Linked DNA regions of Notamacropus eugenii. The protein of the gene in region 2 binds, or shares a complex with, the protein of the main gene of each other region. Links are inferred from orthologs where the notes say so. Each region holds a gene or a part of one and is shown on either strand. Other genes may lie near its edges.

Region 1 (7,414 bases), on a different chromosome or scaffold from region 2:
ACTCTAATCATTTCATTACTTTGTTCAAGGTCTAGCTACTTCCCAAGCTGTCTCCCCCACATACCATGCTGATTTCACTACCTTTAATCATGCCCTTTTCCCTAATCTGGAACACTCATTCCTATCTTTTTCTCCCATCTATGTCTCTCGCCTCCTTAAAAACACTGCTCAAAATTAATTTTTCAGTAAGTCTTTCCCTATCAAGTCCACTATACATGTTCTACTATGCATTTATTTTTATGTTGCACTGTGTGCCTTCTTACCTTTTTTTCCACATTTAGAACACTCTAGTTCCACAAATAAAATCTACACTGCTCATCAGTAACGAAATTTTGTACTTCTTTTACCTCTTCCCACTCCAAGTTCTCTGTTCAAAGGTACCTGATAAATATTCTAAAATCTCATAGTTAAGCCTGCAGACCTCAAACAGTGATGAAGAAATTACATTTGGGCTAAACATAAGATTCTTTTAACTGGCAAATACTGTAGAAAGCCTCACCTATTTAACCCCACATATTATAACATTTTTGACTTGTAAGTTGAAAATTTGTTAAATTTCTTACCATCATTTGTTCCCTTTCCCCCGTCACCAAGAGGTAGTTTATATAGCACCCACACAAATTCACCACTCCTTGAAGTATATATGTACATACAGATTTTCTTTTATTACTTCACATTTCAACAATTTTGATTTCATCAGCTTTGGGTATGCCCTCTATTGACACATATAAAAACCCTAACTACAATTTAGTAGCTGACCATGAAGGCTTGCATCCAATCCTCTTTTCATTATATAGATCTTACAGATGAGGAAACAAGACAAGAGAGGGTTAAATTACTTGCTAAGGTCACTCAGGTAGCAAAATTCAAACACCACATCCTCCAACTCCAAATCCAGCAGTCTCCATAATACTAGATTGCCTCCTCTCCTGCTATCAGCATGAGAACATGCTTCTCCAAAACCATCTGGACCAGTCCCTTCAGTCACAACTTTGTCGTTGGGCAAAGAGAGGAAGCCTTTTCAGCTGGGCAGGATCTGCCAGTGGTTGGGTTCTACTGGCACAACTTAGAGATTGCAGAGTCATTTCCACACCACAATGAGACATCACAGTAGAACATAAAAATACCTTCCACTAATTAAACTGAATTAATACTACTCTTGCTTTGAAGATTTCATTATACCCCTTACAACATAACTGAAGATACCCTGGGGACCCACACAAAACTAGGGCTGGGAGGTACAGCATTGCATTTTCAAACCCTCAGAATTAAATTTTTATTTGGGGAACTCTAGTTTTTAATTACTGAGGGACATTAATCTTAAGTCAAGAATTCTTAATTTTGTTTTGTGAGACCCTTTGGTAATCTAGTGAAACCTATGAAATCCTTCTCAGAATAATATTTTTAAAAGCATAAAACAGACAGCATTACAAAAAAACCCAATTATATCGAAATGAAGTTATCTGTGTATGCATACACGTCTCTATGTATATGCAAATACCTATATGTGGGTGTACATGATGTATTATAATGGAGGTGTATGAATATGTATGGGTAGTTAGGTGGCCCAGGGCTGAGCCTGGAGTCGGGAAAACCTGAGTTCAAATGTGGCCTCAGATTTTTTACTAGCAGTGTGACCCTGGGCAAGTCACTTTACCCAGTTTGCCTCAGTTTCCCCCTCTGTGAAATGAGCTGGAGAAGAATGGCAAACCACTCCAGTATCTCTGCCAAGAAAACCCCAAATGGATCACAAAGAGTCAGACACAATTGAAACAGCTGAACAACAAATACGTATAAGTGTATGTATATATATATATATATATATACATATATACGTACATACATACATATGTGTACGTATATATATATGTAGGTGTGTGTATGAAGTTCATAGATGCTATGTTAGGAACTCTTGCCTTCAATTCTCTCCAACGGAGTGGGATTTAGGCTTTTTTCCCATGGTGGCTCATTTGTGTATACACAAAAGGCTATTTTTATAAAACACACATTCATTGATCATGTTTATTTTGATCTGGAGAAGATATTAGAAATGATCCTGTTAACCTTAGTGAGGCTAAATGTTTGATCAGGATCTAGTGCAAAAAACAGCATATCTTACATACATCTGTTGTATCTTGTGTATATAAGAGCTGTGCAAAAAATGAAAATAATAAAACAAAAAATTACACTGATTCCTTCCAAATCGTAAAAAACAAACTGGTAAGTAACACCAAGTTTTCAAGAAGTCTATTCACCATGCCAAGGCACTCCTGGGTGGCACGATCCATACTCAAGGATCAGGTGGAACAGTGGGGTCTGGAGACCTGGACTCAGCGCCCTCTCGGATGATCGATCGGCTGGGCCTCAGTTTCCTCCCCTGTAACACGGGCTGGCCCGACATCTACGACCTTTTAAAAGTTTGGGAAAGGGACCGGACGGAGTGGGAGGCAGGCCGAGCCCAGCCGGGCGCGCAGCGGGAGAGCGCGGCCCCCTGCGGGGAGGTTTGGGGTCCCCCGCCCCCCCCCGCCCCGGACCCGGGGGCTACTCACACAGGCCGTGGACGTCCAGCATGTTGGAGATGCCGCGGTCGCACATGTCCACCTCGGGCTGGTTCTTCTCCCGGCTCTCCTCCACCAGCTTCTTCAGAGACTTGGACATGGTCTGCGGGGGGACGCACACGAGAAGCGCGGCACGCGTGGGTCTGGGGTCCCGCCACCTCCCACGCCCAGCCCCGACGGCGGACAGGACCGGACCCACCCCGCGCCCCGTCCCCAGGTGGGAGGGTGGGCAGAGGGGCGCCCCCACCGCCACCCCCACTTACTGTGCACAGCCGCAGCGCCGGGGGTCCCGCACGGTTAAGCCGGGAGCCCACAGGAGTCAACACGCCCTGTCCCACACCCCCGCGCAAGCGCAGACCGCGCCACTCTCCGCTCCCGCCCCTCCAGCGCGAGAGAAGCCCAGGACTCTTCCCAATTTAGGAGAATCGCTCGGAGGCCAGGGCCTCGGGGGCAGGCTCCGCCCCACCCCAAAATGTGGCGCTCCAGGCGGGCCAATCACCTCGGCGGACCTGGCCTCAGACTCCGCCCCGCTCCGCTCTCGGCCACGCCCCCAAGAGGTCGCTCTTAGATGCTGATTGGTGAAGCCGAGGGCGCGTGCGCAGGAGCGCTTACGCACCTCCAGTTTCGTTGTCGGGTGTCGGTGGAGAGGGGAAGCAGAGGCATGCTAGGAAGCAGGAAACTCTGAGAGAGTCGTGCGCCCTCGGCCGGGCCTGTTATGAGGGGACCGTGCAGCTCCGGGTCCGTTATCTCCAGGGATTTAAGAAGCTGTTCCGTTTATTTGTCCCGTGTAGCTTTGTTTGCGCGCCGTCTCCCCGTTGTCCTCAGTACCGAACACATTGCCCAGCACACAGAAGGCACCTAATAAATGCTGATGAATTGACTTGACCTGTCCGTACCTTTTGTATACGTTTGTTTTCAGGTCGGGAGCTCCCTGAGGGCAGGGGCTTTCTTTTACCTTTTCTACTGTATTCCCCCCTACCCTCTTACTCCGAGTGCCTGGCACATCGTAGGCGCTTAATAAATGTTGATTGATTGGATCCGAGCGCTGGATCCCATGAACTTTGCAGCAAAGCGTCTGGGGCCCCCCTTGTCATTGGCCCCTGAGCGGGCTGGGGAACGGGGACAAGGCGGCTCCCGACTGGCTCACCTTGCCCCAGAACCTGATTGTCTCCTGGAACCTGAGCATAACAGAAGGCGCTTAATAAATGTTGATTGATTGGATCCGAGCGCTGGATCCCATGAACTTTGCAGCAAAGCTTCTGGGGCCCCCCTTGTCATTGGCCCCTGAGCGGGCTGGGGAATGGGGACAAGGCGGCTCCCGACTGGCTCACCTTGCCCCAGAACCTGATTGTCTCCTGGAACCTGAGCATAACAGAAGGCGCTTAATAAATGTTGATTGATTGGATCCGAGCGCTGGATCCCATGAACTTTGCAGCAAAGCGTCTGGAGGCCCCCTTGTCATTGGCCCTGAGCGGGCTGGGGAACGGGGACAAGGTGGCTCCTGACTGGCTCACCTTGCCCCAGAACCTGATTGTCTCCTGGAACCTGAGCATAACAGAAGGCGCTTAATAATTGCTTGCTCCTGTTGACTGGCGGAAACCTTTGGACCCCTTCTCAGAATATCGCTTTTAAATTCATCAAATAAAAAAATAGAAGATTTGAAAGGAAACCGATTAGGTTGAAACTGTTCTCAAAGGAACTTTCTTTAAAATAGAGTCTCCAAGTTATTGTGTTTTTATTTTTAAAAAAGAGCCATTTCATCATGAGCTTAGTTAATTATTATATTTGTCTTGGGGGGAAGGGAACTAATGGGATCACAGGAAAAGGATAGAAGAGACGGGATCCTAGGGAGTAGTGCTCTAGATGAAAATCCTAGAATTTGGGGTCAAGCCAGTGACTTGTTTTAAAGATACTTGCACAGCAGCAAATTCATTTGTTTTACCAAATCTATCTAATTGTAATATACTAATGTTACACCTGCATTCTTTGTCTCCAAAAATTGGAAGCTAACCTGAGAACACAATTGAGGACGCCACAATTTAAAAACTTTTTAAAGCAGGTCAAACCTCGAATCATGTTTTAAACCAGTAATTCTTAACCTTGAGTCTGTTAATTTTTTAAAGAACTTTTTGACAACTATTTTAATAGTTTCCTTGGTGATCCTATATATTGCATTTTATGCAAATAAAAATACTATTCACAAAAAGTATCCATAAGTTCCACCAGGTGGCCATAAGGGTGCACAATGTAAAAAAAGTTAACCACTGTTTTAAGGAAAACTGAAGTTGGATATTGGGGTTTGTGAAATTGTGAAATAGGTGAATGTGTGTGGAAGCCTAAGTTTCCCTCAAGACGTTTATGTAATACTCTCTCTCAACAGACTACCATCTGTCTCTTCCACTCTGCTGCTCCTCCCACCCAAAGAACTATTCTCAGCTCCTTCATTCACAGGGAAATAAAAGTAACAATTTGAAAGTTATATTCATTCTAGAATGTTTGGAGGGATTTGGTCTATAGTGTATTACATGGGCATTCCTAGAAATCTTATGGGTAGGTATTCCATTTGAAACTCAGCTGGTCAACTTATGAAGGCAATTAGTATCACAGTCCATTAGCAAATAAAGCATATGAAAAAGCAAGCCCAATAATTATTGATCAAAAAAAAGACTAAAGTTATAGTAATAAAACTTGCTGGGAAACTGGGTGACGTAGTCAATAGAGCTTGGGGTCTGCAGTCAGAAAGATTGAGTCATCTGTCCTTTGATGACCCTAGCAAAATCAGTTGACCTCTTTGCCTCAGTTTCCTTATCTGTAAAATGGGGATAATAAAAGTCCCTATCTCTCCAAGTAGTTGTAAGAACCAAATGTTAGTATTTATAAAGTCCCTGACACATAGTACATAATTTTTAGCTTGTATACACATACCCCGTGTATTCCTGTTAACACAACCAATGGTCTAACAACTTTTCTAACTGGGGAACAGTTAAAGATAAATGTTTAAACCATTAAACCATCTACTATGTTCAGCCACATTTCTTAAGCCTCATGTGGACCAAGTAACAAATTTGACAATAAGGATTATTGTCAGGTATCTAAGATGTCATTTAATCCAACCCCCTAATTTTGAAGAGAGGAAACTAAAGTCCAGTAAGGTGATATGAATGCACCAATTAAATTTCTTGTTAATTTATTGCCCAAGAGGACACAAGTAGTGTCGAGAATGGAATTTAAACTGAGCCCCCCTGACTTGAAAATCCATGTCATACATGTCTGTGTATTTAACCACTGTATTACACTGCCTCCTCCTCTCTGTAGCTTATATCCCACCTAGAAAGGCAGAGATTGCAGTGGAAATAGTTGAAAATTGCAGTCATATGACCAGAATTTTTTATTTCCTAGGTGTACAACTAAAGACAAACTAGCCTCTCTGAGCTATGATTTCCTATGTAAAATGAGCGGGTTAAACTATATGCTCTCTCAGGTCCTCTCTACATTTAACTAACTTGAGTAAGACATGTAGGCTTCTCTGTCTCTTAAGTTCTGGGACCTTAGATGTGTCACCTAACTTGCCAGTACTTCAGTTTAGGACAGTACTCTGCCAATAGGGAGTCACTCCAGTGAAAACTTAGGGCCTCCCTTTCTGCAGCTGGGTTCCCAGTGCCCTACTCCTTCCTTCTTCCATGCACAAGTAGGCATGGATATCAATAGCTTAAGTCTTTGTCCAAGCATACAACTTTTGTGTGAGGAGTCATTCAGAGATGTCAAAGATGGCAAACTCATTAATAAGTTTGAGTACTGAGAGTAACATGTAAAATAATGGAAATCATTTCAATACAAAGTTTTATTTCAAGCAATGGGGAAGAGGAGGCAGGAAAGGAGGACCCAGCCCACAACTCAGACATATACACGAGCACAGAACATAACTCACATAAAGGTGGTGCTGCATTGGGGAGCACAAAGATGTGGGTTCATTAAGCATGAAGTTGCCCTTCTGAGAGTGGGATTCTCATACTCTGATATGGGGTGGTCCTCCTGGACCTGGCTGTTTTGCTTATTAGGGATAAGGGGAAAATACTTTGGTGATTTGTTATCAGGAAGTAAAATGAGCTAGATAGTAAACAAAATATTACTTGAGAAACGCCGCTGTATTAACCTTCAAAAATTGTTATTTTCAGTATTTTTCCATGAGTGTGTTCTATAAGCTTACATATAGCCTCCCTTAAGGGGAGAACATCAGGCCTCATCTTAAAACAATGGTTCCCATGAATAGATTCTATTAGCTACTGCCTCCCTTATGGGGAGACTCATGGTGGTCTCAAGATCAAGAGGTCTAATCTTATAACAATTTATAAAATAACAAGGTTGAACAAATGACGTATAAAGTTCCTTCCTGATCTAAACTTATGATCATATGATCTATGTGAAAATAGTCATAATTTGGAGACTAGACTCAGACTAGAGGTCGTATAAGTAGTAATAGATGTAACCCTACCTTCTTCTCTGGAATTTAACTAACCAGATCCAGTATTTGAGGAAATGCCTAAAAACGCTTTTTTTCACTCATTCTTCTCCCACCCAGAGTCAGTCACCTATGGGCAATCTCAGAGTATATTTTATTTGCAAATCTCCACTGGTAGGATAAAAAGGTTCAAACAACCCATGCAAGCACTTGTGGTAACAATGCATACCACGTACAGGACAGCTTTTATTTCACTCCATGAAAAATACATTAAACTTGTAACTTTCAGTAAGTAACCCATAAACAACCATTTTAATGGTCTTCCCTCTCCCAGACTTATAGCACCACCTTGTGTTTTGAATGACCCTTGAATGGAAATATACCTGAGATTGTTAGA
Region 2 (8,014 bases):
TGCCCTACGTCAGACAGTCTGAAGTGACAGTTTATCTGGATTAAATTCAAGGCTCATTCTACCTCCAAGGTCTCACTTAGGATTTTTATAAATGATTAGAAGCTATACTAAATTCAGCTAATGATTTAAAACACATGTCAAGGTAAACAGTTTTACCCCTTCTCATCCCCCTTCGCCCTCCCACCAAAAAACAAAAGGGGGGGGGTGAGGGAGAAGCAGGATAATATTCACAATGTGCCTCAGCTATATGGTACACTTCCTGCCCCCTCCCCCGCCCATAACAATATAGTTCCATTTTTGACTCTAGTTGAAATGAAATCTGTGTGAAAACAGTACAACCATCATCCCACGCCTTCTACAGGAAGCCTTTCCCAGCCCCTTTTAATTCTAGTGCCTTCCCTCTCTTAATTATTTCCTATTTAAGCTATATATAGCTTAGTTTCTACATATTTATAGTCTTCCCAATGGATTGTGGGCTCCTTTAGGGCAGGGACTGTCTTTTGCCTCTTTTTGTACCCCAATGCTTAGCACAATTCCTAGCACACAGTAGGTAGTCAGGTTTGAAGAAATGATGCAAAAAAAATTCATCATATAGTAATTACCGCATATCATAGAGAGTGTCATTTTTGTGTTAGAAAAACCAGGCAATGAAGGATCAACAAAGCTGTCTGATATCAAGGAGAAATCAACTGAGAGCCCACAGAAGCAATATGGCTAATTATAATCAGTAAATTTGCCAGGATGTGAAATCAAAAAGTGTTCATATAAAAATCCCTGTGAACACTTAAACCCTCAAGATAAAACCTTCTTAAACAATAATCTACCACTAATTAAGTCGATTTATTCTAAAACAAGTGTTCCATGTCTAGCTTTCCACATATAAATGTGTCAGTCTCCCTCCTTCCATCTGTTGTAACTTTCTGAAAACAACAATGACACGTATTTATGTAGAGCATACATTTTACAGAAACATCATTCAGAGCAACTGTGAACTAGGTAGTGTAACTATAATCACTCCTATTTCACAAGTGAAGATCTTGCTGCTCAAAGAATCAGACATTTAGAGCTCAAAGAGATCTGGGAAATGACCTAGTCCAATTGTCCAATTTTACAAAGCAGAAGGATAGTTAGAAAGTAACACTAGAAGCCCCCCTTCTGACTCTTTACTCTCTATAGAACCCTTTCCACTATACTGTACAAAATTAATCAATAATTCAACAATGACCATTTATAAAGCGTTTACTATCACAGCAGGCTAAAATAAAGCATTTTTCTGGTTTCAGTCAGAACACTGCATAGGTCTAGAGCTCATCTATAGAATTCCCTGGATAAGATACCTCTCACTCTCCTTTGGAAATATGGCAGGTCCCTGGATACAGAACACTGCATATGGTTTCATATCCCCATCCCCCACTCCCTATATTCGATTAGCTTTTTGATTTTTTTCTCATCTCATTTTCTTTTTTTTCTATAAAATATATTCTTTGTTATAAATAAATAAAATAAAATAAATTATATTCTTTGTTCTATGTACAAGCTCTCTGGGAGAGGTGAGGAGATATACTAGGGGTAAATTAAGATCGATGTAAAAACAAAATAAAGAATGTCCCAAGAGTCTCAATGAAGTTCTAAGTTTCTAGAAGCTTAGAACTGCAGAGACTTTTGGGACACTTTGTAAAAAATTATTTTAAAACAAAAATTCACTAGACAACACAAATCCTGATTATAACATAATGAAAACAATCCCTAATGTCTCAACAAATGGAGCTGTTAAATGGGACCAAAGAGTTACATTCTATACTGGAGAGCACGTAAGGATCCCTGGAAGCTGTGACGAGTGGTAAACTAGACAAGTGACAAAGTCATTAATTTCAATCTTATTTGGGATTTTCAATTACACAAAATGTTTTAATCATTTAACTTGGGTCTGCCAGTTATTTCTGTACTACTAATGAAAATAGGGGGTTTACCTAGTAGAGATATTTTACTTCCATACCTGTGATCTCATTAATGTGGGCATCTTATATCATTGCTGACTTGGCTAATTTGTGCCTTCTCATCTTCTGTGATTACTGCCTTTTCCCCCCCAGATTAATCTTACACAAAAGATCTTAGGCTATTATTTATCATATAAACTTTTTTATTATTTAAATTATTTATCACATAAACTTTAACAGCATTTATTTGTAAGTAAATAACTTGGCCAATCATTAACTATTTTTACTTACTAAACCAAGTCCCCTAAAAACCATTACTAGATGGTAATGTCTAGCTCCAGGCATTGCAAGTAGATGTATTAAAAGATATATTAAACCATTATTGTGCAGTAAATATATTAAAATATATAAAATGTACAAAAAAGTACAAAATTACATTCTTCATAAATATGATGTCTGAGTCTCTAAATGTCTGAAATGGGCAAAAATTTTTAAGATCTGATATGAAAACATATTACTTTGGAGCAAACATTTCCTCATACTATAAAAGAAATGAAAATTTGTCTCTGCCGCTATTAGCCCCAACTAAATGAAGCCAGCATCGCGCCTAAGAGTACTTTTATGTCAATGGACCACATTAACTAGCAAAGCCAAGGCACAGACCTATCAACTTGTGAGCAGCAGGAATATTTAGCAGCGCATCACCCTTCAAAACCATTCCTACAAGGACACAATGTCAAAACAGCCAGTGAGTTTAAAATACTGAGAACACTACATTCCCATCAGTAAAGGACCCACCCTGGGAGAGGGAAAACTTACAATCTTGCATAAAAGTCACAGAATTCCTTGTAGACTTTTATGTCACTTTGCCTACGCTGCAGTTTGGACACAGCCTTCTCGCCTTCATTCTCATCAGCATCGTGGCCATCATTAATTACAGTCTGTGGGATTTCTTCGTTTTCTGGAATGACAAGGGGGTGTACCCTGCCTGTGAGTGCCATCCTGAAGCAGTAACTTATCTGAGAGCTCTGATACTGGGGCAGAGAGCTGCCGACTACATACACCAGCGGGAAAAACAGTGTACAGGACTTCCCCCCGATTCCCAGCAGTGGGATTCATTTCCACTGTTTACACGTCAGTTAGGCAGGCTTTATAAGGACTCCACAGAAGCTTCAAGTTAAGAGCCCAGAGGCACCGTAGACAGGATGACAAGGTATGATTTACTTGGGCTTGTTGGAAGCCCTACAGCAAGCATTCCATCAGAGCTAGCATAAACATAGGGAGGACAGTCTTCACTATCTATTATGGACCATGAAAATTCTACCACAGCACAGCAGAAGCATTTTATGGACAACCAAGTCTCTCCTCTCTCTCTCTCTCTTTCTCTCTCTCTCTCTTTCTCGCTCTCTCTCTCTCTCTCTCTCTCTCTCTGTCTCTCTGTCTCTCTCTCTCTCACACACACACACACACACACACACACACACACACAGAGAATATATTTATTTCCAGATTCTAAAAATATTGTGTATGTGAAGCACTACATTCTGACTAAACTTAAATAGAAACTGGGGCTACTAAACCATACATAAACCCTACATGTCACATACTGACAGAGAAAACCACATATTAACATTATCTGTGTTTTATAATATTTCTCCTGAGTTACAAAAAAAGTAGTTTAAAATTTAGAGAAAAGAGGAACCTCTAACAGGCTGCTTCACTTGCACCTTGTTCTTTGGCATTTCACTTAGATTTTTTTCTACAGCTTTGCCTATGATTGAATCCTTTCAAGGCTCACAATCAATATTTCTTAATAATTCACAGTTATCTCTAGGCTTCCATCTCAAAGGCTCCATAAGCAGCCAACACAGGGGCAGTTTTGTAGTCAATGACGCGATTCTTTCCAACACACATGCCAGCACTTGACTTTTCTCCTTTACCATAGGGACCTGTTTTAGTATTTCATGCACCAGATCAATTTACCCCACCCAAATGATCAGACTTGTGTTTGCTGATGTTCTTTAAGTTCTCTCCAGATCTAAATTCTTACTACCTTCCTTCTCTCCATGATTGGTAAAATCTTTAAATTTTATCAAATAGTGAGCCCTAAAGACAAAAATAATGAAACAGACTATACGTATTTCTACAAAGAAGCTTTCCAGGATCTGCATGTAAAAGGCTACACATCCAAGCATTACATATATATGTATTTACATACACATATTAATATTGCCTGCAACAAATTTATCACAGATTAGATTTCCACTTATACAAAATGAAATCTTGCCCCTTTACTTGCTACACATTCAAAAAATGCAAAACTGTTCTAATATTAATTTAAGTAAAACTGTAATTATCAAGGCAAATCTACTATATAATAAAATGCACCCTAAAGTAAAATTTAAAGTTTCTTAATAACCCATGGTCCTCCTAAACAACCCTCCTCCAATCAATTTAGAAAATTTACGTGGGCCACCTAAAACCTACAGAAGAGATAAACTGAAACTGTATCTGTTGATAGTAAGTGGTAGGAGAAGATGGGTCTCTGATTTAGTGGAGAAAGTACTGAACTTGGAGTCAGCAAGAACTAGGTTGAAATTCCGCCTTAAGATATTTACTATCTGTGTGACCTGAGGTAAGTCATTTAATCTTCCTAAGACTCAGTTTCCTCATCTGCAAAATGAGAGTATTGATATTAGAAGTTACCTTGTGTGACTGCTGTGAGGATCAAACCAATATTTAAAGCATGATACAGATTTCAGTTGTCATCATCACTAGGGCCAGTGAAAACCTGAAATTTATCATGAGGCTCAAAATTTCCCTTTAACGTTAAAAAAAGAAAATAGATTCTATCTCTGACTTAGCAAAGGTTACAAAATGTATTCGCTTGCAAGCAAAATGCTTGTCTAAGTGAGGTAAGTTATCATGTCATTTATAATGTCACAAATTTAGAAACAGAAGGGACATTGGTGTAATATAAATCAATATTCTCATTTTGCAGGTAAAGAAGATCCAGAGATCCAGAAATTATATGACTTAAGGTCATATAGGCAATAAGTGGTAGAACCCAAGTCCTCTGACTTTAAAAGACAATGTTTCTTTTCCCCTTCACAGCATTGCTAATAATCCAATAATTCTTCAATACACATGATAGTGAAAGATATGTTTTAAACTATCGCCATCACAACCAGAATTCAAAGGTGGCATGGTGAAAAAGAAAAGAAAGGGATAGATACTAGAGACAACAGAATTTGGTGATTTGAGAATGGAAGACAGGAAAGAGTTAAAGATGACTGAAGTTTGGAACCTGGGTGTCTATAAAGATGTTGGTGCCATGAGTTGAAAAAGGAAACTCAAGAGGCACAGAGCGAGCTTTTGAGCATCACGAAGGGTTTGATTTTGGACACGTTGAGTTTGGTACACCATTGGAGTATCAACAGGCAGATGGATATGTGGATCTGGAGATGTTGGGAGAGACTGGAGGCTAGGGTACATTTGGGAACTGTCTATATAGAAGTGATACTTGAAGTCATGGGAATGGATGAGATTACCCAAGTCAAAGAGCTGAGGGATAAAACCTTGGGGAAGACCCATAGTTAAGGGAGTGAGGAAAAGGAGAGAAACCAACATGAAAGGACTAGTCATAATTGGGGAGAACCTTTATAGAAACTATTGTTACAGAGCAAAAAAATGTCTCTAAGAAAAAACCCACTATTGTTCACATTACATATTCTTATTTCTTATTAGTTTTTATTACTTATGAGTGATTTATCACACAAGAACTTGGGGACCTGCTGCTACATGCCCAGTATGCTGCTATGACAATATGTGAGGTCCTAAAGTCAGCCTTCAAGAAGCTTATACTTGATACCACCAACTAGGGTTGCTAGGTTGCAGAGAACTAGTCTTGGAATCAGGAAGACTCATCTTTCTGAGTTCAAATCTGGTCTCAGACACTTACTAGCAAGTGTGACCCTGGGCAAGTCACTTAACCCCGTTTGCCTCAGTTTCTTCATTTGTAAAATGATCTGCAGAAAGAAATGATAAATCACTCCAGTATCTTTGCCAAGAAAATCCTCAATGATGTTCCAAAGGGTCAGACACATCTGAAAACCACTAAAACACAATCAACATTAACCACCAAAGTACTAAATGCAAGCAGACTATGGTGGAACTCGAACAACATTAAAAGGGCCAAGGTTTCTCACACTCTACATAAGAAAGGACTGGGATCAGCTCTTCTGCCACCGTGAGGTTATGTGGCCTTACTCTTCTCAAAAGCCTGGATAGGCTGATAATTCAGTTCAATTAATCACTCATTTCATCTTGATACCATGGATTAGAACCAAAGGAAAAGCTTTTTTTAAGGGTCTAAATATCCGAATTATTATTTTTAGCAGAGCAAGAAAGAAGATGAGGGGGTATTTAAGGCCATGTCAGTCATAATTGCTGGGATTCAAATTTTCAAATCCAAGCATTTTGTTATTTAAAAAGCATTTGTTGGCACCTAATAAAGTCAGCTAAAAAATATAAACAATCTTTTGGGGAGTAATTAATTCTGGAAGTTACTTGATTTATGGTTCTACTGCCACAACAGCCATACAATCAAACCAACAGCTGTTAGACGAAATTAACAAAAGGGGGGGTACAGTTCTAGAAAACCTCCATGTTTAGCTATTCTATATTTGTTTCAGTAGAAAGTGGCAGGTAGGCTCTGTGGAATCACTGAATCTAGATTCCTGAGCTGAGGTCCCCCGAGGTTCCAAAAAGAGTCCTGCCCAAGAGTAACCTTTTCAATTCATTTCCAGACTCTCTCTCCACACTTGAATGGTAGTTTGGGTCCAGGTCAAGCCCAGGCAATAAAGTATAAAACATCTAAACAGATAAGTATATGACTACTTGATCATTTGAGCAAGATGAGAATTCTCATTAGCTAGGAAGATCAAGAAATGTTTCTGATGGGAAGTGGCATGCAGGCTGAACTTGGAAGAAACGGAAGGATTCTAAGAGGCAGAGATAAGAGGAAGTGTATTCCAGTTAAAGCACGGAGTGTCTATATAAAGGCACAGGGATACAAAGGCACAGGGATGGAAGATAGAATGCCCAGTCTGAGGGACAGCTCATTTCTACTGGAAATGTAAAGTCCATGAAGGGGAGGAGAAGGGGAAGCTGAAGCCCAGAAGGGGCAAGGTTTTAAATGCTTAAACGTCTACATTGAGGACGGTGTATTCTGTCCAAGAGTTAACAGGGATCAAACGAAAGTTCTTGAGCAGGAAAGTGGTAACATGGTCAGACTTATGCTTTAGGAAGATTATTGGAGCAGCTGTCTGAAGGATGGAATGAAGAACCCCAGAATCTCAGAGTGAGAATAGATCTCAGGAGTTGACCTATCCACCCTGTATCTGAACATGAATTCATTTCCCCTACAACATACCCAACCTTTGCTTCAAATCCTCTAATGATGGGAGCTAGGTGGTGCAGTGGATAGAACATCAGCCCTGGAGTCAGGAGGATCTTAGCTCAAATGTGACCTCAGACTGGATGTGTGACCCTGGGCAAGTCACTTAACCCCAATTGCCCCCCTCATAGCCACTCTAATAAGAGTGAATCCACTGTCTCTCAAGACACTCTGCTCATTTTAGTTATGAAATTTTTCCTTATATCGTATCTAAATCTACCTCTGTAAATTTTATTCCTCAGCACTCCAAGTTCAAGAATAAGTCTAATCCTTTCTTCCACAAGGGAGCTGCCTTTAAGTATGTGAAGTCCTAAATAATTCCTTTAACTGATCTTCAAATGAAATATGCCCTGGCTCATTGCCAATCTTGTTAATATATTAAAGTAAGTGGTATTTAGGAATTTTGTCTTGATTGGCTATACATGTTTGTAATAGGGACTATGTTTTCCTTTCATTCTCAATGGGCAAGGGGATTGGAAAGGGAGGGAGAGAAGGTAGATTTCTGCCAACTGAAAAAAAATAAAATTAATTTTTAAAAAAGAAAGAAGTGTTTGAGCTTTGACTTGAAGGAAGAGAGGATTTCTAAGAGGCAGAGGAGAAAAGGAAGTTCATCACAGGC
Region 3 (8,101 bases), about 170 Mb from region 2:
CCAACCATTCTGGAGAGCAATTTGGAACTATGCCCAAAGGGCTACAAAAATGTGCATACCCTTTGACCCAGCAATACTGCTTCTAGGACTGTATACCCAAGAAATCATAAAAATGGGAAAGGGTCCCACATGTACAAAAATATTTATAGTAGCCCTCTTTGTGGTGGCCAAAAACTGGAAATCAAGGGTATGCCCATCAATTGGGGAATGGCTGAATAAATTATGGTATATGAATGTAATGGAATACTATTGTGGTATAAGAAATGGTGAACAGAAAGATTTCAGAGAGGCCTGGAAAGACTTATATGATCTGATGCTGAGTGAAAGGAGCAGAACCAGGAGAACTTTGTGCACAGCAATGACCACAGTGTGCGAGAGTTTTTTCTGGTAGACTTGGAACTTCGTTGCAATGCAAGGACTTAAAAAAATTCCTAATGGTCTTTTAAGGCAAAATGCCTTCCATACCCAGAGAAAGAACTTTGGAATTCAATCCCAGAATGTAGCAGATCATTTTCTTTTGTATTATGTTTTGGTTTGTTATATGATTTCTCCCATTCATTTTAATTCTTCTACACAACATGACTATAGTGAAAATGTATTTAATAGGAATGTACGTATAGAACCTATATAAAATTGTATGCCATCTTGGGGAGGGAGGGGGGAGGGAGGGAGAGGAAGGGGAAAAATAATCTAAGTTATATGGTAGTGATTGTAGAACAGTGAAAACAAATAAAATTAATATTAAAAAATAAAAATAAAAAAATTGTTAGGCACAAAAAAAAAAAAACCCTTCAAAACCTGACTCCTTCCTATGTTTCCAGTTGTCTTATGCACTTGATGATCCAGTGACTCCAGCCTTTTTGTTACTCTCACACAGCACATTCTTGACCTCCAGCATTTTCAGGGGCTGTCCCTTGTCCCTCGAATATTCTCTCTCCTTTCTCCCTCCTTTCTTCCCTGATTTTCTTCAAGCCCCAGCTAAAATCTCACCTTCTATAGGAAACCTTTCCTGACCTCCCTTAATTCTAGTGACTTCCCTTTTTAAATTATTTCTCACATAATACTCTATATATCCTGTTAGTATGTGGCTATTTGAATGTCATCGCCCCCATGAGACTGTGAGCTCCTTGAGAGCAGGAACTGTCTTTTACCTTTCTTTGCCTCCCTAGAGCTTTGCTCAATGTCTGGTACTTTGTAAGTGCTTAATAAATGCTTATTGAATGACTGCCTTCTTCTGAGTAGCCCCACTAGCTAGAAATCAAATCCCACCTTTGGAACTTAGAGATTATAAAACTTTCCACAGGACCCTAGCTCCCTCATCTTCAGCTTTGTTATCAGAAAGGTCAAAGTGTCCCACTGCATCCAAGGTTATCTCCATCTCATCTGTATCTTGCCACTGGACCCAGATGGCTCTGGAGGAGAAAGTGAAGCTGGTGACTTTGCACAGTCCTCCCTCACTTAAATCCAACTCACTTGCATGTTGTGACACTACCTCCCTGATGTCACAAGGTCCTCTTCCAGAAAGGATAAACAAGAGCGAGGCCATACTCACTGCCTCCTTGGGAAAGATGTGGTCAAGAGGCCAAAAAATAGTGTAACCTCGATTGGAGTTCTCCACTGAGTGTAGGCTCTGGTTTGGGTCTTTTTAGAGCCGCTAATGGGAGTAGCATTTTAAGATTGTGGGGTAGAGGATAAAGGATCATGTTGGACCTTGCAGTCAGGACTTGGATTTGGTATTTGGGTGAGTCGGAGTAGGTCACTCATTCCTCCTCATCTGCTTCACCTGCAAAGTGGGATTAATAACCCCAGGAGTCCCTGGCTCAGAAGGCCACGAGGCTGAAAAGTGACAGCATTTTCTAAAGTGCTTTGGGAATTTCCCAGGGGAGCCCTTTCATCATTGGCATCCCCGTAATAATTATGGCCCTGGCTCTCGAGGACCTCAGAAAGTGCATGCCGGAACTGAGAGAGAGATGCTTATGGACCAAGGCCCGGTAGCCTGGCCCAGCCCCAGCCTCCCTTGGTCGGGGCACGGGGGAAGGCCAGCAGACGCCGGACAGAGGTAGCTCCGGGCGCATCCTGTCCAGCGGCCAGAGCTGGGCGGCGGCACAGAACACCACCCCGCGGGCCTCGCCAGCCTCCCTGGCCATTGCGGGAAGATCTAGATCCGCATTCCTCCTTAGGAGAGGGAGCCAAGGCTGGCAGCTCTAGAAGCGGGGCTGGCCAGTGCGCAGAGCGCGGGGGGCAGCCCGGGAACCCGGGCAGGGGCCTGGCCAGGCCCGGGGCAGAGGGAGCGCACATCCGGGCAGTTGGACCGGCCCGCGGGGGGCGGGGCAGGCCTGGAGCCGCTGGGCTCCCGCATTTTTCCAGAGTGACGTTTCCACAGGAAATACAAACGCTCACGCACACAGACACAGACGCACACACACACTGGGACGCTCACACACACACATACACACACACCCCAAACCCCCAGACCCTCCAGCCCCGCGGCTCGCAGCCAGCTGTGGGCTCCCGGGTCTCACAGCCCCGAGATGCGCTGCCCCCACCCTGGGGCGCACGCAGAGCCAGCCTGGCTCTCCCAGGGTCCCCCCAGGCCTGCCCAGCCCAGCCCTGCCCTGCCCTGCCCCGGCCGCCCCTCCCAGGGCGCTGTCCGACTAAGCTGGCTCCCAGCTGGGGGGAGGGGGAGCCCCCGAGAGCCGAGCCCGGCGCCCTACTCACCCTCCTTGGCTTTCTTTCTCCGGGCCAGGGTTCCTCCAAGTTTCCCCAAGAAGGAGTCATCTTTCTTCCGGGACGGGGGAGACTTGGGGGTGGGAGATTTGGGGGCCGAGGGAGACTTCTGGGGGGAGGTTGCCATGGCGGGAGCGGAGAGCGGAGCTCCGGGTGGGCCGGGCCGGGTCGGACTGGGGCGCACCGAAGGAGAAGGCGGCAGGGCAGGCGGCGGCCGCGGAGACTGAAGCTGCCCCTTTCCAAACGGAAGCGGAATTATTCCAAGCATTTGAGGCAGCTCTCGCTCTCCTTTCCCTTCCCTCCTTCCCTCCCTCCCTCGCTCCCTCCCTCTCGCCCGCCTTCCCGGGAAGAAGTTTGTCTGGCCCCTGGTTCTGGCACTCAGTGTCCCTGACTGGGCCGGGCCAGGCCAGGCCACTGAGCTCACCTAAAGCAGGTAGGAACCCCAGCCAGCCTCAGCCCCTGGAACCTCATCTGTTAACTACCAAAACCCAGAACTTTTCAATAGTGGACCTGCACTTATCAAGCATGAAGATATTTATTCCTTAACCTTTCCCGTCTGCCACCGTCAGCATTAGAGTTAGGAGGGCCTGGATTCAAGTTCTGCCTCCCATATCTGTTGCACCCATTCTCAAAGAGGTCTTTACTGGCTCTCCTGTCTTCCTTTCCTGCTCAAATAAGATTCTAGCCCAGGAGAGCCTGTTTGAGCACCTGAACCTTCTTCTGACCAGCTGCAAGAACCACAGCAGACATCACAGACTGGATCCTGCCAATAACTGAAAGCCAACATTCAATAGCGAGTGTGATATGATCAAATTCCCTTGGGTCTAGCCATTCTTTCAGAAATCGCATAACCCTGTACTCATCTCTGCGCTGATGGCTTTGGAATAGATAGCCCCTAAAGACCCTTCTGGTTCAGACATTTAAGAAAAAAATTAAATTTCAAGAGTTCCAGCTGTGAGTTCAACCTTGAATATGTTCAGTGAACTCTGGGAAACTTGTGATAAGCTAGAAGCTATGGTTGCCACAGGCTCCAGATCTGACAGCATCTGATTTCTGAATTTCCCATGGGGTCGAGTTAAGAAAGGAATTAGGTTTCAACAACTCTGATCTTTTTCTCTTTCCTTCTTTCTCTTGAAAAGCCTACTCATCCTCAGAGCTTCCCTTTAGCACAGTTTCAGGATCTATAGTGCCAGTCCTTACTTCTCTCTCAAGATCCATTTCTGGGAGCCAGGAGCTTAGAGGTGACCTGCATTCTATGCTGTTGCAGTCCTAGCTGTGACATGTTAGCTTTATTACCTTGGGCAAGTCCCTTCTTTTGGCTTCATTTTCCTATACTATAAAATCAGAGGGTTATATTACTGCACATCTTTCAGATCTGAAATTTCTTAAGAGCCCATCCTGCTGTTTAGAATCCTACAATCAACACCAGAGTATCTCCACAGGAGAGTCATGTTCTTGCCTCAAACTCAGGCCTAAAGTCAAATTAATCATCTTCCTCCCAGAACTGGTTTCTCATCTTTCCCTTTTTCTGTCAATGACAGCATTGTACTCCCATTCACTCCTCAGGGCTACCTCAGATGACCTATCATCCAGAACCCTAGCCATGTGGACACTAATCTCCTCAGTCACCATCCTATCCCAGTCCTCCTTCGATGGTTTTGGTTTTTGTTCAAGCTCTGATCGATGATTTCATCATTGTGGAAATTCCTGGTGTGAAAACTCCCTCTACCAATCTTCATCTCATTTGTCATTTATTGTCTTAAGAGATCTGACTGGGGCATTCAGCCTTAAGTGACTTGTCCACAGTTACTCTCCTAGTACCAGTAGAGGTATAACACTAATTAAGGTCTTAGGACACCAGCTCCTCCACAATACACTTCCCTACCTTTCATAGCTTCCTCTTAATATTTCCCTAACTTCCTAAGCTTGAAACTTATATGCAAGGCAAGCTACAGGTAGACAGGTGATCCAATTTTTACCCTGTGTGGTAAGTAGTGCATTTTGCAGATGAGGAAACTGAGACCCTGAGAAGTCAACTACTTGTTCAAGGTCACTGTGAATTGGTGATTCAGCTGTCTAAGAAAAAAACCCAGGTCTTTTGATGACCATCAAACTATTTATCATCAAATAAGATTTCCATTAATTAAGCACTTGCTATGTGTTAGACACTGTGCTAACCACTGGGGTTACAAAAAAAGGCAAGTAACTTTAGGTGTATCTGAAGCAGCTTATCAAGCTGAAGAAAAAATGTACCTCCCTCTTACTTGGTCAGTTTCATGTTCCCTACTCCCTCCCTTCCTACTCTACTGATTTTAACAATTTGAATATGTTAAAAAAAGCAAGAAAGAGGCTTATATTTTTTTTAAAAAAACTGAACTATGGTCATGTCCACCTTGTTGTTTAAGAAGTATAAGAGGCTCCAGCAGGTGATGGCCAGCTAAGAGTGTTGAGGGGCTAAGTGAATAGGAGACAACATTCAGGGGAGTCACCATTTTCTTCAGGTCCCAGACAGTTGCTGGAATCCCTGGGACTCTGAGCTTCAAGAGCTTCCTCACCTAGCACAGTTAGGGGTGAGTGCATGGGTTTGTCGATGCTCACCCCTGGAACTTTCTCCTGATCCCAACCATCTCTAGAAAAAGATATTTGACATTTTTGGAGTAGGGTGCTAGCACTTTTAACAAAACTATGAGTTTAGACAAAAGAGTCACTAGAACAGAGAGTAGTAGAAGATATGATTCCATCATGGACCAGTTTGATTGGGACTAATGTGAATCCAGAAGCAGTCAAAATGATTCAGACTATAAAAGATCTAGTGACGATCAAAGGGAAGATGGATATGATGATCCCAGGGATTATGACAATCCAGAGAGGGAACATGGAGAGAAAGAACGGTGACAGATCAGAAAATGGTTACCATTCTGATATTGACTATGGAGAACATGACTATAGGAATGATATTAACGATGAGTGGGAGAGTAAACAATTATGTTGCCCCCACTTTCAGTTACTGTTACAAAGAATGATATTAGAAAGAGAATGGAATCCTTTGAAGGCTCTCAGCCTGTAGATATATGGCTGATGAAGAGGAAAATAGGTGTAAGCCATGGCCTCTCCTTCTTAGAGTATCATCAATTGCAAGATGCTACCAGCTGGATAGAAACCAATCAGAAAAAGTTGGTAATTCAATGAAATCACATTGCAATGCATTATCTTAATCTTGGACCTAAATTTGAGGATGGCTTTGTAACAAGTGCTGCCCTAACAACTTTAGGAAAAGACTCAAATGCTTCAGATGTGGAGTTGATAAATTTAACTCAGAACTTCCATCTAAAACCACAGAGTCTATCCAGTCTATGGATTACTACTGTGATACTATTTTTCTTTTACTATTGCTCCTTGTACTTGAAATGCGTCATTAGTCAGAAACTCTCATCTTATAAGAGAAAAACAGATGCAGCAGAACAGAGGATTTGCATTTGTACAGATGTCTTCAACAACGGATGCTTCTCAGCTACTAGAAGTGCTACAAAGTCTTCATCCTCCACTGAATATCGATGCCAAAACAATTGGAACAGATTTTGCCAAAAGTGCTCAAAAAGATTGGGTTCTACCAGATGGTAACAGGGTCAGCACTTTTTCTGTGGTTAGCATAGCCATTGCTGTAGCTAGGTGGTCATCCCCTCAGTCTCAAAGTGGAGAATGTGACAATATAAACTACAGGCATACCTCCTTCTATTGTGCTTTGCTTTATTGCATTTCACAGATTTTGAGTTTTTACATATTGAAGGTTTCTGGCAACCCTGTCACTTTTTCAACATTTTTCCAACAGTTCTGATAATTCTCACAATATTTAATAGTTTTTCATTATTATATCTGTTATGATGATCTGTAATATATATGTATTATATACACATTATGCATACATACACATAATTGTTTTGGGGTGCCACCAACTGTACCCATTAAGACCACAAAATTAATAGAAAAATGTTGTGTGTGTTCTGACTGCTCCACTGACAAGCCATTCCCCTGTCTTTTTCCATCTCCTGGGCCTCTCCATTATCTGATGAGTCCAACAATATTGAAGAATATTACATAAACTTAGTTGATAAAGCAGCAGCAGAGTTTGAGAGGATTGACTCCAATTTTGAAAGAAGTTCTACTGTGGGTAAAATGCTATCAAACAGCATCTCATGCTACAGAGAAATCTTTTATGAAAGGAAGGGTCAATCAATATGGCAAACTTCGTTGTTGTCTTACTTTAAGAAATTGTCATATCCACTCCAACCTTTAGCACTTACATCCTGACCAGTCAGCAGCCTCAACATCGAGGCAAGACCCTCCACCAGTAAAAAGATTATGACTCACTGAAGGCTCAGCTGATGGTTAGCATTTTCTTAAGCAATAAAGCATTTTCATTAAAGTATGTACATTTTTTAGACATAATATTATTGTATGCTTAATAGATTACAGCATAGTATAAACATAACTTTTATATGCACTAGGAAACCAAAAAAACTGTGTAACTTTCTTTATTACAATATGTGCTTTACTGCAGTGGTCTAGAACCTAACTTGCAGTATCTCTGAGGTATGCCTAAACAATTACCTGCAGCCAGGCCAAGATGGCTATGCACAGAAAATCCAGTATTCATTGGATTATCAGCAGTTTTACCAGCAACAAGGGGGAGCGAAGAATGATACATCTACTGTACCAAGGGCAGCAGTTACCACTATTTCAGCAGATATATTATCCCAAAATCCTCAACTGTACGATCAAATCAACAACCCACCTGGTTCTCCATACTATTATAATTCCTCAACCGAGCAGTATCTTTATTGGGATGGAAAGAAAGAGACCTGTGTGGGGGCAACAGAATCCACCAATGAACTGATCTGCCTTCCACCAAGGAAGGAAAAGAAAGGAAAGAGAAGCCAAAGAGTGCAACGGAATGCCAAAGACATGGAACACAGAACTAAGAGTGCAAAAAAGTAAAAACTTTGAAAATAGCTTCTAGCCTGTCAGCTCCTTGAGGAAAGAAAAGAGGATAGAGCCAGCAGCAGCAGATGCAGACTTTACTGTCTTTGAGAAGGAGGGAGCTTTGACTCAATGGCAGCTACTTATCCCAGAGCTGGTAAAAGGAGAAGAATGGGAAAATCCACTCAAACATGGTCTAGTTGCTGCTTGTAATGGTGATAATGATAATGAGGAAGAATTGATGGAAAGAATTTAAAGTGAAGAAGAAAAACTGTCTACTCTGTAGAAAGTGATTTCCCGGCAAAGATGCTTAGTTAGGGAGCAACAAGTATCCAACTTATATAAGCAAAACATGGATATGTATAGATGATCTGGATCAGGTCTTCTTAAATTTTTT

What was found.
Region 1: the proteins of LIMS1 (region 2) and RSU1 are in contact, whole or in part, in a crystal structure (PDB 7LT9), measured with the Homo sapiens proteins. The link is inferred for Notamacropus eugenii from reciprocal best matches to the Homo sapiens genes LIMS1 and RSU1. Residues at the interface, in NP_001180417.1 of Homo sapiens: Cys252, Phe253, His254, Cys255, Asn256, Leu267, Asn268, Lys269, Ser279, Thr280, Cys281, Asn282, Thr283, Glu293, Phe294, Asp295, Met296, Lys297, Cys303, Lys306, Phe307, Pro308, Glu310, Leu311, Arg314, Leu315, Lys317, Leu318, Ala319; in NP_036557.1 of Homo sapiens: Asp21, Ser23, Asp24, Gln44, Val46, Ser48, His49, Val67, Asn69, Phe71, Asn72, His90, Asn92, Met95, Glu112, Asp115, Thr117, Tyr118, Arg137, Ala138, Tyr140, Ser142, Asp143, Ile161, Ser163, Arg165, Asp166, Glu184, His186, Gln188.
Region 3: LIMS1 (region 2) and PARVA share a complex: the UniProt entries of both Homo sapiens proteins name them as parts of the heterotrimeric IPP (ILK-PINCH-PARVIN) complex. The link is inferred for Notamacropus eugenii from reciprocal best matches to the Homo sapiens genes LIMS1 and PARVA.

What each region holds. Positions count from the first base shown.
Region 1 is NC_092874.1:57,467,644-57,475,057, forward strand, and holds the start of RSU1 (ras suppressor protein 1), read right to left. Parts: upstream 3,070-7,414; 5' UTR 2,822-3,069; intron 2,662-2,821; 5' UTR 2,659-2,661; coding exon 2,550-2,658; intron 1-2,549. UniProt on the Homo sapiens protein: Potentially plays a role in the Ras signal transduction pathway. Capable of suppressing v-Ras transformation in vitro.
Region 2 is NC_092877.1:204,394,470-204,402,483, reverse strand, and holds the start of LIMS1 (LIM and senescent cell antigen-like-containing domain protein 1), read right to left. Parts: upstream 3,077-8,014; 5' UTR 2,939-3,076; coding exon 2,757-2,938; intron 1-2,756. UniProt on the Homo sapiens protein: Within the IPP (ILK-PINCH-PARVIN) complex, binds to F-actin, promoting F-actin bundling, a process required to generate force for actin cytoskeleton reorganization and subsequent dynamic cell adhesion events such as cell spreading and migration.
Region 3 is NC_092877.1:32,946,037-32,954,137, forward strand, and holds the start of PARVA (alpha-parvin), read right to left. Parts: upstream 3,058-8,101; 5' UTR 2,996-3,057; coding exon 2,719-2,995; intron 1-2,718. UniProt on the Homo sapiens protein: Plays a role in sarcomere organization and in smooth muscle cell contraction. Required for normal development of the embryonic cardiovascular system, and for normal septation of the heart outflow tract.